Linked DNA regions of Saccharomyces cerevisiae S288C. Each later gene encodes a partner of the first gene's protein in a complex. Each region holds a gene or a part of one and is shown on either strand. Other genes may lie near its edges.

The links. Proteins that work in one complex are often made in the same cells at the same time.
Region 2: DNF3 (region 1) and YNR048W share a complex: the UniProt entries of both Saccharomyces cerevisiae proteins name them as parts of the flippase complex.

The regions. Positions count from the first base shown.
Region 1 is NC_001145.3:578,409-585,855, forward strand, and holds DNF3 (aminophospholipid-translocating P4-type ATPase DNF3), read right to left. Parts: upstream 5,514-7,447; coding exon 543-5,513; downstream 1-542. Other genes in the region: INP2 (Inp2p), read right to left, coding at 5,863-7,447. UniProt on the Saccharomyces cerevisiae protein: Catalytic component of a P4-ATPase flippase complex which catalyzes the hydrolysis of ATP coupled to the transport of phosphatidylcholine and small amounts of phosphatidylethanolamine from the lumen to the cytosolic leaflet of the trans-Golgi network and ensures the maintenance of asymmetric distribution of phospholipids.
Region 2 is NC_001146.8:709,671-713,480, forward strand, and holds YNR048W (putative aminophospholipid translocase regulatory protein), read left to right. Parts: upstream 1-1,959; coding exon 1,960-3,141; downstream 3,142-3,810. Other genes in the region: serine/threonine protein kinase FPK1, read left to right, coding at 1-1,534; MSO1 (Mso1p), read right to left, coding at 3,353-3,810. UniProt on the Saccharomyces cerevisiae protein: Accessory component of a P4-ATPase flippase complex which catalyzes the hydrolysis of ATP coupled to the transport of phosphatidylcholine and small amounts of phosphatidylethanolamine from the lumen to the cytosolic leaflet of the trans-Golgi network and ensures the maintenance of asymmetric distribution of phospholipids.

The sequences.
Region 1 (7,447 bases):
GTCATTTTTTTATTATTTTCCAACGTTAGTCAAAGTTGTACTATAAAATAAAACTACAAGGAGCAAGCAAAATTGAAAAAACGCATTTGTATACTAGATGACATTTAGGTCATTCCTTCAGGCTTCCTGGCTATGTTTTATTTTGTTCCACAGTTTACCAGAAGGACATAATGGTATTAGAATTTTAATATATCGAGGAAATTAAATCAGACAGTATAATACTTATAAACATCTTTATTTTCTGATAACTAATCATAGCATTTACGCCATACATTTACTTTTTCTTTTGACACCGAAAGTAATCAAGCCACTTTTATAATTAGAGTTAGTTTATAGATAGTATTTAAAATTTGTGAAGATTTCCCATGCGTTGTGCCTTGCTTTCTCTCAAAATACATCTTGTTAATTTTCTAATGTGTGGATGCCGAAATAATATTCGACTCAACAAATCAAGTAAGTCTTCTAAGCTCGCTACTAATTTCCAATAAAAGGTATATATATAAAAATGTTCTCAATAATGTAATTAAACAAGATCACGAGAATTACTCCAGATCCTTTAGCCTTGCCTGAATAATCTGGTTCACATCTTCATCTTCCACATTCCTCGATGGAAGCTTCAGTTTCTTCGTCAGTTTAGTAGTTATATTGCCGCCAATACTGTCTTTACTGCTTTGTGTTTTCAAGGATGGTCGCTTGATTAACTTGCCACTAGGTAATACCTCGTATCGTTCAGAGCTCTTTTTAGAAGAGTTTCCAAAGAAATTTTTTTTTGAGGAATGGTCTACATTCCCATTTGACATTGAATATATGCTGCTGTTATGAGTTTTTGCACTTGCACGTGAATTAGTTCTTGGCCTTGAAAGAACTTTGTCTGTGTACCTTGTGAAAGTACTGGGATCTTTATCCCACGTCCATCCTTGCCTCATTTCGCTATAGGCTCCTAGTTCCAGCTTCTTTCTGATATCACTTTTTTGTTCCAGCTCAGCAAAAATATCAGAATCTGATGGCCATATCATAACTTTGAATGTTTTGTAAACTATATCTAAAGTGATAGGTAACAGTGCCAACACCAAGCTAGTACACCAGAATGTAATGTCTTTACCAAAATGATTGTAAAAGCCATATGCTACATCATATATTTGGTCAGTATTATTCAAAATAGGAAGGGCACAACACCACACTAACCAACCTCCACAGGATAGAACTACAGAAGTAAAAGCCAGCCAATTCCTATTGTGCATTTCAACAAATTGGGATTTAACGTTAATTAAGGCAACAATGGCTGTGAAATTGATGAGACCTAGAGGATACATAGTGTTATCTGAAAGAGAACTCATACCCCACATTACAACATTTAAAAATGTAATGATAAGAGAATTCGTAGTTGCCAAGATAACCCACTCCATGAATATTAACCAATTAAAACCTTGTGAAAGGCGCCCGTACGAATATAATTCAGGGACTGTTAGTAGAGTCATTGGTTTCAAGTCTTTCTCAAACATACCAATACATAGAACCGGTAGTGATGTGAATAGAGTATTGAACATGGACAATGACCATGGCTCATATAGAGAGGAGCCTGAAAACATTGTATATCTTTGATATATCAACTGCGTAAAGTAAAACGTAATTTCTTTGTAAAACGTGCAAAGCATAAACTTGGAGGTGCGAATATAGTTATAACGCCCATGAACAAATAACAATTTCAAGAGAAACCGAAATTGGCCAATAGAATAATCAGATACTCTAGATGCTTGCAATCCCTCCTTACCGGCTATTCCAACACCTATATCGGCAGATTGTATCATGGCAATATCATTCGCACCATCACCTATTGCCAACGTGACTAAGTTTGGATCGGTATTTCTTATGTTGGAAACCATAAGGGCTTTTTGAGAAGGTGAAGCACGGCAACATATTACCGAGTCTGTTTTAGTGCAAAGCTCAACAAATACAGACATGTATGTAGGATTTCCTTCAAACATGGCCATCGTGGCACCGTCAATTACAACAACGCAGTGTGCTATGTTTCCGGAATCAACTTCTTGAGAAACCGCATTCATCTTTGATATAATATTTTCATCAGTAGTAGTTAAAATGACTACCGTAGAATAATCTTTGATTAACATACACGAATACCCTATATTTATAGCCGTTTCCCTTTTATCCCCTGTTAGCATCCACATTTTTATACCGGCTCTTCTGATCTTTTCTATAGCTTCTGAAACGCCGTCTTGTAACTTGTCTTCGATTGCAGTTACCCCTAACAGATTTAAACCATCCTCGATTTCTGCACCTGCCTCATCGACTTTGATTTTTCTATCAGTAAGGGAGGTTTTGGCTTGGTGATAGCGTTTATTCCAATTTTCATACTGCCCAATATCGATCCATTTGTAAGCATAGACCAGAGTTCTTAAGCCTTCAGTCGAAAACTCATCGATGGCTTGCAAAGTTCTTTCAATAACATACTCTTCATTCAAAATTAACTCATCGCTTCCAATGTGCTCCAAAATTTCTGTATCGTAATCATGCTGTAGTCCTTCTTTTCTTGTGTCTATTGGGACATTGTTGTTCGGAAAATGTGTTCCATCTATCGAAATTCGCGGCCCATATTTTTCTATTTGTTGCTTATGGAGTGACTTCCTGCTTTTATTTACAACGCTGCCAATCTCCTGATCAGATTTCTTGACCGTTTCTAGAAATTGATCAATGGAGTCAATTTGTTTCTCTGGATCACGGGTCCTGCTGTTCTTCATTGAAAGACTTTTTCTCACTGCCTGCAATGATAAACTTGCTCTCGGTACGCTAGACAAAGAATTTCTCAATGAGGTCCTGGCCATAGCCTCTTCATCTACCATTCTTTCCAGAGACTTTCTTTGCTGGAGAACCAGCTCTGCTTCTGCGTCTTTACGTTCTTTGGTACTGGTGCATATGTCTGCCATTTTTTTGGCAGCCAATTCGCGATCATGTAAACGCTCCATAATAACGTTATCAGCACCTTTGCAAATTAAAAGAACTTGATTTGGTTGATTTGGCATACGTACAAGAACAGACATTCTCTTTCTTTGAGAATTGAAGTCAATATAGTTCAAAATTTCATAATTTTCCAATTTTGCTTCACCGTCAAAACCGTCTGGAAAAGTTTTAATGGTCAAAATCTGTGCATTTCTATTCAATACAATATAACCAAGGTCTCTAGCAGCGGTTACTAGTGCTAATTCATCTGGAGATGAAGACTGATACTCTATGGAGTCTTCTCCTATTGATTCGTTATGAGTTTTTTTGGGAAGACAGCTATGACAAAGAGCTAATGATAAGAAGAAAAATTTAGCCTTTTGAGAAAACAGGGCGGTCGGATATCTTTGAATAAACTGAATTAAATCAAACGAACTTTTAATGTTCTCCGAAAATGTCTCGGAGGGTGAAATAACCGAAGCTTGTTTACTTAGATGTGAATTATCTTTCCCAAAAAGTGATCTCATACTGGGACGGCCTGTATAAATTGCTGATGAATTTCCCTTATATTCAATAGAATTCCTAGATTTAGGAAAGTTGTCCAAAGATGGACGATGCCCTTTTTCAATTGGTGCGTCCGAAAATCCTAACCGATCAAGAACATTTTGATCTCCAATGGAAACAACGTCTATACTAGAGCCGTTGTGAGCTTTTGGTGGTAGTCTCAAGGAGTTCGTATTGTCTCTGTTGTCTTCAAAGTTATCCTCAGAATTACCGAGATCTACATTATGCAGCCAAGATGATCCACATAAAGAAAATTTCCGAAATATCATCTTATTATCCGTCAGCGTTCCGGTTTTATCACTAAAAATATAAGATACTTGCCCCAATTCCTCCAGAATGGTGGCAGTTCTCGATTCGCATGGCGTGTTCGTTTCTGCATGGTACATGTCTATGTCCCATTCCATCATTTTACTTTGGACTACCTTGATAATTTCCATTGTTACATATAGGGACAAAGGAATCACAGTGTTATACATGATGATAAAAGACATTATTGTGGGTGCTACGCCAGCATCTGCCTGAAATAGATACCATGCTTTGTTCTGGTCGATATATTTTTTCTTATGCAAAACATGGCCAAGATAAGAAAATAAAGATATTGTGGCAACGACAAACACCATAAACACGATAATCATATTTATCTTCCTTTGTAGCTTAGGGGCTTTCGTTCTTGGGTTTTTTAAAGCATTCATTCTGATTTTTGTTTCCTCACCACTGAAAATGACCATACCAACAACATTTTGAGTATTCCTCAAAATACTACCACGATAAATGACATTATCAGGACCTAGAGGGTATTTCATTATGGTATCATTGCGATGGTTTTTCAATTCAAGATTACCTTCAAAATTATATAAATCAATATTGGGATCTTCCACGGTAACTTGAGCATTAATATTTGCAAGACCTGATGCGGCTTTGGTTAACTTATTTAATTCTGGATGGGGTTGTTTACTTTTCAAATTTGTTTCGCCATCTAAAGCCATCGTTTCAACGAAACATTCGCTATTTTCGCCGTCACATGTCAATAAAAGCAGATCTGCAGGTACCCAATCATCTTGTGTGAGAAGTACGAAGTCTCCAACACGAAGTTTTTCCCACTTCTTTTGATGAATATGAACATTGTATTTATTCTTGAGTAGTTCAAAGTTATTGAAGTGCGTGTCTAAGAAGTGTCCTTGAGAGGAGTTCCGATCATCGTTTAAAGGTGGATTATTTTCAGCAGCGGCCGATTTAGTTAGATATGCAGTGGATGAGACAACACTACTTGGTAGTGTATAAACTTCTTGTGCGTCATTATTTCCATCTTTAACCAACACTCCCACTGGTTTATTGTTCTCTTCCTTATCTAAACGATGTCTCCTGAAATCGTCCCAAGCCTCTCTTGTCATGGATATACCCATAAATACACATAAGGGGATAATAGTTGTATAAGTACCAGTTGTAGACCATCCAGGTATCATTTGTAATACTGCGACAATGAAAAAATAAGTATTGGCTAACTTTGAAAATTGTGCATACAACTGTCTAGGCAAAAAGGAATAGAATGTATATCTTGATGAAGTTATTCGGTTGTCGCAGTAAGGCTTGTTGAACCTTTCGTCTATCAAATGACCATCCCTTTTAGTAGCAGCTTGTTTGTATTCAATTGCATTATGATCTAATATAATCGGAATATGTCTACCGTCTTTCGAATGGAACGTCCTCCTTCGATCTAGGATAGTATCAAGTATTTTAGTGATAATGCTATATGACACATCAGGACTACCATACTCTTCCATTTCATAATCCTCTTCAGCAGCATAATTGCCGCTTGTTTCATCTCTGTCATCTTTATCGTTATTATCGCTACCGGAGAACGTCTTACTCTCATTTATATCTTCTAACTCTATCTCATCATCAGTTCTTCCGCGATATTTATCATACAAATGCTTGTTGAACATCTGCGTTCGTAGTGATGAAGATCTTCTTCTTTGCCCATCAGCTATGCCCATAATATTTTTTTCTTTTTAATAAAGAATGGAATTAAATTATCTACTTCAATTAGGATGTTTATTTGCTGTATGGAAGCTATGTGTATATAACGATAAAGGTCAAATAAAAGAAATAACAAAAAAGAAAAGAGTGAATGAATAGTCCAAAAGCAATGGGGTAATTTGGCACTTGATCTTTTCTCAAGACTTCCTGCAATATTGAATTCTTCTTTGTTAAATATTCGCTTACTTAAAGCACTTGACAGACTGGGGTCGAAAATAACCCGGCTGCGCAGCCCGTCATTTGCTTATTTAGAAAATATGATTAAAGTGTAATTAGTTATTTCAAAGTACATATTAAAATATATTATCATGAATCATTTCCTAGTAATCCTTTTAATTCATACAAAAATGGGATAGTTTCTTCCGAAGATACTTTGCATTTGCTGAGAGGCCTGCTCTCAAGAAAGGCATCGTCTCTTAATGGTTTTTGAAAGCCAAACTTTACGGACATGGAAGCCTGAGCTTTTCTTAGCAATTCAAAGGACTTTGCAGTTCTTAGCCTTTCCCTGCCTTCACGGTTTTCTTGAGCCAATTTCAAAATTCTTTCATCTAACTTGCGTCGTAATTCGTTGTCAGAAAGTTGCTTGAAATCTGGTTTCCTACAACTATCCTTTCCGATAAAATCTACGCGGTGATTTTGGCGTGAACCGGCAGAACATTCCTCCTGACAGTCGTAGTCTTCATATTCCTCTAGTTCGGTGTCGTTTTCAAAAGAGTCATTCACCGATTCAGCAACATCAATGAAGTCAACTTTCCTCTCTAAGCTAAGACCTTGTACTGACGAAGAACGGGGTGACTTTCTGCCTTTGAGGATATCCAGATGGAAACCATGGTTGATTGTATTGGTTGGGGATACCTTTTGTATCCTAGAAATATTGCCACAAATTTTCGAGGTTTTCCAGAAAGTAATGAGCTCCTCCAACTTATCCTCAATGATGTTCCTATCATTCTCTGTTATGCCATTTCGAATGTCAATAGCTAATAGATTGTTCTCGATCATTTTTAAGTAATTAAGTGCCTGAAACAATTTATCATTCTTTGAAAATGAACATACATTTGCTCTTTCACAACCAGTATTAGTTGATGTTTCTTCAGGAAATGCATACAATATTTGCTTATGGTCATTCAAAGACACCAGGACAGTGGAGAGTAGTGAATGTAATCCTCTTAATAGACTAACTATATTTTGGAATGTACCTATTGGATTATATTTTTTTTTGAGTTGCACCCTTGCCATGTAATCTGGAAAGATTTTGTTTAGTGCGTTTCTCATGTTTACATTTGAAAGATTTTCGTTTCCTGTCATATCTAAAGACAGCAAACAACAGAGCATAAATTTCTTTAGCAGTTTGAGACGATAAAGCTTACCATCAAGGTCTTTTACTGTGGTAGTATTATTATAGTAAAGATTTGGTACATCGATACCGTATAATTCACAGTATTTCGATAGCTCACTTGTATCGCTAAAGATGACAATATCTGGAATGATTGATTTGAGTTTATAAAACAGTGCATCACTTGAGAATACTAGGAGCTCTTTTATCACAGATGAGTGCTCGTCAGCAATTGAAATAAGAGACACTCTTGATATAAAACTATGATTTTTTATTTCTTTAAATCGAAGATGATATTTATGAATCATTACATCCACTTGTTGTAATGATTCGAGCACTTTCCGTACCTTTAATAAGGTTTTATAGCAAATCAAATGTCTTCGAAAGTATTCTTGCTGAATTGATAAATACACTGCTACGAGTATTAAAATTACAACTCTCTTCAGACCTGGACTATTTTTTTTTCTACAGTATTTTTTCAACTGTGTAAGTACTCGATAAGAGGTTATAATCATCGAAAGGTAGTTGAAATTTTGTCTGAAATATAATTTTTTGTCC
Region 2 (3,810 bases), on another chromosome or scaffold:
AACCGACAATAAAACGAGAAATCTTTCACCTACCAAACAAAATGGTAAAGCTACCCATCCAAGGATAAAAATACCTTTAAGAAGAGCAGCTTCAGAACCAAACGGGTTGCAACTCGCATCTGCCACATCGCCGACATCTTCTTCAGCAAGGAAAACATCAGGGTCCAGTAATATAAACGACAAAATCCCAGGCCAATCAGTGCCTCCTCCAAACTCATTTTTCCCTCAAGAACCCTCTCCAAAGATTTCTGATTTTCCAGAACCTAGGAGGTCCCGACGTTTGAGAACTAAATCTTTCAGCAATAAATTTCAAGATATCATGGTGGGACCACAGTCTTTTGAGAAAATAAGATTGCTGGGCCAAGGTGATGTAGGTAAAGTTTTCTTAGTAAGAGAGAAAAAGACGAATAGAGTGTATGCTTTGAAAGTCTTGAGTAAAGACGAAATGATAAAAAGAAATAAAATCAAACGTGTTCTGACAGAACAAGAGATTCTTGCCACCAGCAATCATCCCTTCATCGTCACACTATACCATTCGTTCCAATCTGAAGACTATTTGTATCTCTGTATGGAATACTGTATGGGCGGGGAGTTTTTCAGAGCTTTACAAACAAGGAAAACCAAATGTATATGTGAAGACGATGCCAGGTTTTATGCCAGTGAAGTGACAGCAGCACTAGAATATTTACATCTGTTGGGTTTTATCTATAGAGATTTAAAACCAGAGAATATTTTGCTGCATCAATCAGGCCATATCATGCTTTCTGACTTCGACTTGTCTATTCAGGCTAAAGATTCCAAGGTTCCTGTTGTCAAGGGTTCCGCTCAATCAACCCTTGTTGATACCAAAATATGCTCAGATGGGTTTAGAACCAATTCCTTTGTCGGAACTGAAGAATATATTGCCCCTGAAGTCATAAGAGGTAATGGCCACACCGCTGCGGTCGATTGGTGGACGCTAGGGATTTTGATCTATGAAATGTTATTTGGTTTCACTCCATTCAAAGGCGATAACACAAATGAAACTTTTACGAATATTTTGAAAAATGAGGTCAGTTTTCCCAATAACAATGAAATCTCCAGAACTTGTAAGGATTTGATCAAAAAATTACTGACAAAAAATGAATCTAAAAGACTGGGTTGCAAAATGGGCGCTGCCGACGTGAAGAAACACCCCTTTTTCAAGAAAGTCCAATGGTCTTTGCTGAGAAATCAAGAACCGCCTCTGATACCAGTGTTATCTGAGGATGGATATGATTTTGCTAAATTATCATCTAATAAGAAGAGACAGACTAGTCAAGACAGCCATAAACATCTCGATGAGCAAGAGAAAAATATGTTTGAAGAACGAGTTGAATACGACGATGAAGTCTCTGAAGATGATCCATTCCATGACTTCAATTCAATGAGTTTGATGGAACAGGATAACAATTCAATGATTTATGGTAATACCAATTCTTATGGGAAAATTGCATACACTCCAAACTCCAACAGATCGAGGAGTAATAGTCATCGAACCTTTTTTAAGAGATAAAGGGGGCTTTGACGTATAAGTGTCGGTATTTTTTTTTTTTTTATTGATTTTTTTTTCACTCTTATTTTTTCCCTCATTTATTCATCATACATTTAACGAACTCTATTTCTTTTCAAAATCCTTATCTACCTATTTTTTTTTCTTTATTTTCTTTCCTCTGTCAGTTAGTCAGTAGTGTGTAACTTAAATAAATCATATATCGGTGTTTCAATTTCTAGCATTCTGTGTAAACATCAGATGAAGCATTGCCTTTCTTTTCAATGAACTCTATGTAGTTTTTTCGATTTGCTTGCGTACTATTTTTCACGCGATAGTTGAAGAAACGATAGAAGGATGGCGCAATATACAAGTTAAAAGCAAATAGATATCTAATCAATAGTTAACATCTAGAATAAAGTGCTGGAACTTAGATTTTTTTGTGCAATATGGGACTGATATTAAGGTGGAAAGAGAAAAAACAGTTGTCTAGTAAGCAAAATGCTCAAAAATCCAGGAAACCGGCAAACACATCGTTTAGACAACAGCGCCTCAAAGCCTGGCAGCCCATCTTGTCGCCACAGAGCGTACTGCCGTTGCTTATTTTGATGGCATGCGTCTTCGCACCCATTGGTATAGGGCTGGTGGTCAGCACGATAAGTGTCCAAAGACTAGTGGTAAACTACACAGAATGTGATGCATTGGCACCGGCGAAGCATTTTGAAACGATTCCCTCCGAGTACGTGGACTACCACTTCAGTAAGAAAGTCGCAGTCCAACCTCAATGGATGGTACTTACGGATCCTGAATTAGGCAATCAAACTTGTCGAATACAGTTCGAAGTTCCAAATCATATCAAGAAATCTACTTATGTTTATTACCGCCTAACAAATTTCAATCAAAACTATAGAGAATATGTGCAATCTCTTGACCTAGACCAATTAAAAGGAAAAGCATTGATCGGAAATGATCTGGATCCAAACTGTGACCCTTTAAGGACGGTAGAAAATAAGACCATATTCCCCTGTGGATTGATAGCAAATTCGATGTTCAATGATACATTCGGCACAACACTTACTGGTGTAAACGATACTGCAGATTATTTGCTTACCACAAAAGGTATTGCGTGGGACACCGACAGCCACAGATATGGAAAGACCGAATACAATGCATCCGATATCGTACCGCCCCCAAATTGGGCCAAGTTATTTCCCAATGGCTACACTGACGATAACATTCCAGACCTACAAAACTGGGAACAGTTCAAAATATGGATGAGAACTGCTGCATTGCCCAACTTCTATAAGCTAGCAATGAAAAATGAGACCAATGGGTTAGGTAAGGGTATTTACATTGCTGATATAGAACTCAACTACCCAGTAAGATCTTTCTATGGAACAAAATCTTTTGTATTAACCACAAACAGTATTATCGGTGCTGGAAACGAGGCATTAGGGATTGTTTATTTGATTGTTGCCGGGATTGCAACTCTTTTCGCCATACTATTCCTGATAAAAGTCATCTTCAAACCAAGACCTATGCATGATCATAGCTACCTAAATTTTGAGAACAGCGATACCCCATTCGATGAGAGTAGTGTCGTTAGTATTCCATTGAGAGAAATTTTATGATTGATTATCATTTACTATAAAATCCCTGCGTTTGATTCGGTCTCTAGGGAAGCGTTGTAATTTCATGTATATTCAAAATAAGGACGAGGTTATATACCATACTATATTATCTCCTTGCATTCTGTATCAAACACTTTATTCAGTACATATACGATACCTATATATTCATTAAATGTTCTTTTCGCTTTATTTCAGCAAGGTATAGTGCTATTTAAAATCCATAATCGTTATTGCGTCTCTTTAGTCTGTCCTTCATTGCCATTACTCCACTACTTGCGTCTGGTGGCGGCGTTGGCGTGCTGGAGGTGTTGAAACTGTTCGACGTTTTACTTCGACCGAGACTTGCCCTGAATTCTTGGCCTGCTGAAGGTCTAGTCGGCCGTGATGAAGCTCTTCTCGGTGTCGCGCTAGAGGAGCTTGTATGATTATTGTATATATCTTGAAACGATTTACTCGCAGGCGTGTACTCCGGTGTGTTCCCGTTTGAAGAAGGTGTACCCATAGGATCTTCTGAAGAAGCCTTCCTTCTGTTAGAAAAGGATGGCGAGAAATGACGCGAGTTTTGCTTCTTCATATCATGCTTCACTTGAGTATCTAATATTTTACGTTCGTTCGGTAAATCTTCCTTCTCCCCCAACCATCCTGGGAACCCCTGGAAAGGATGCTGAT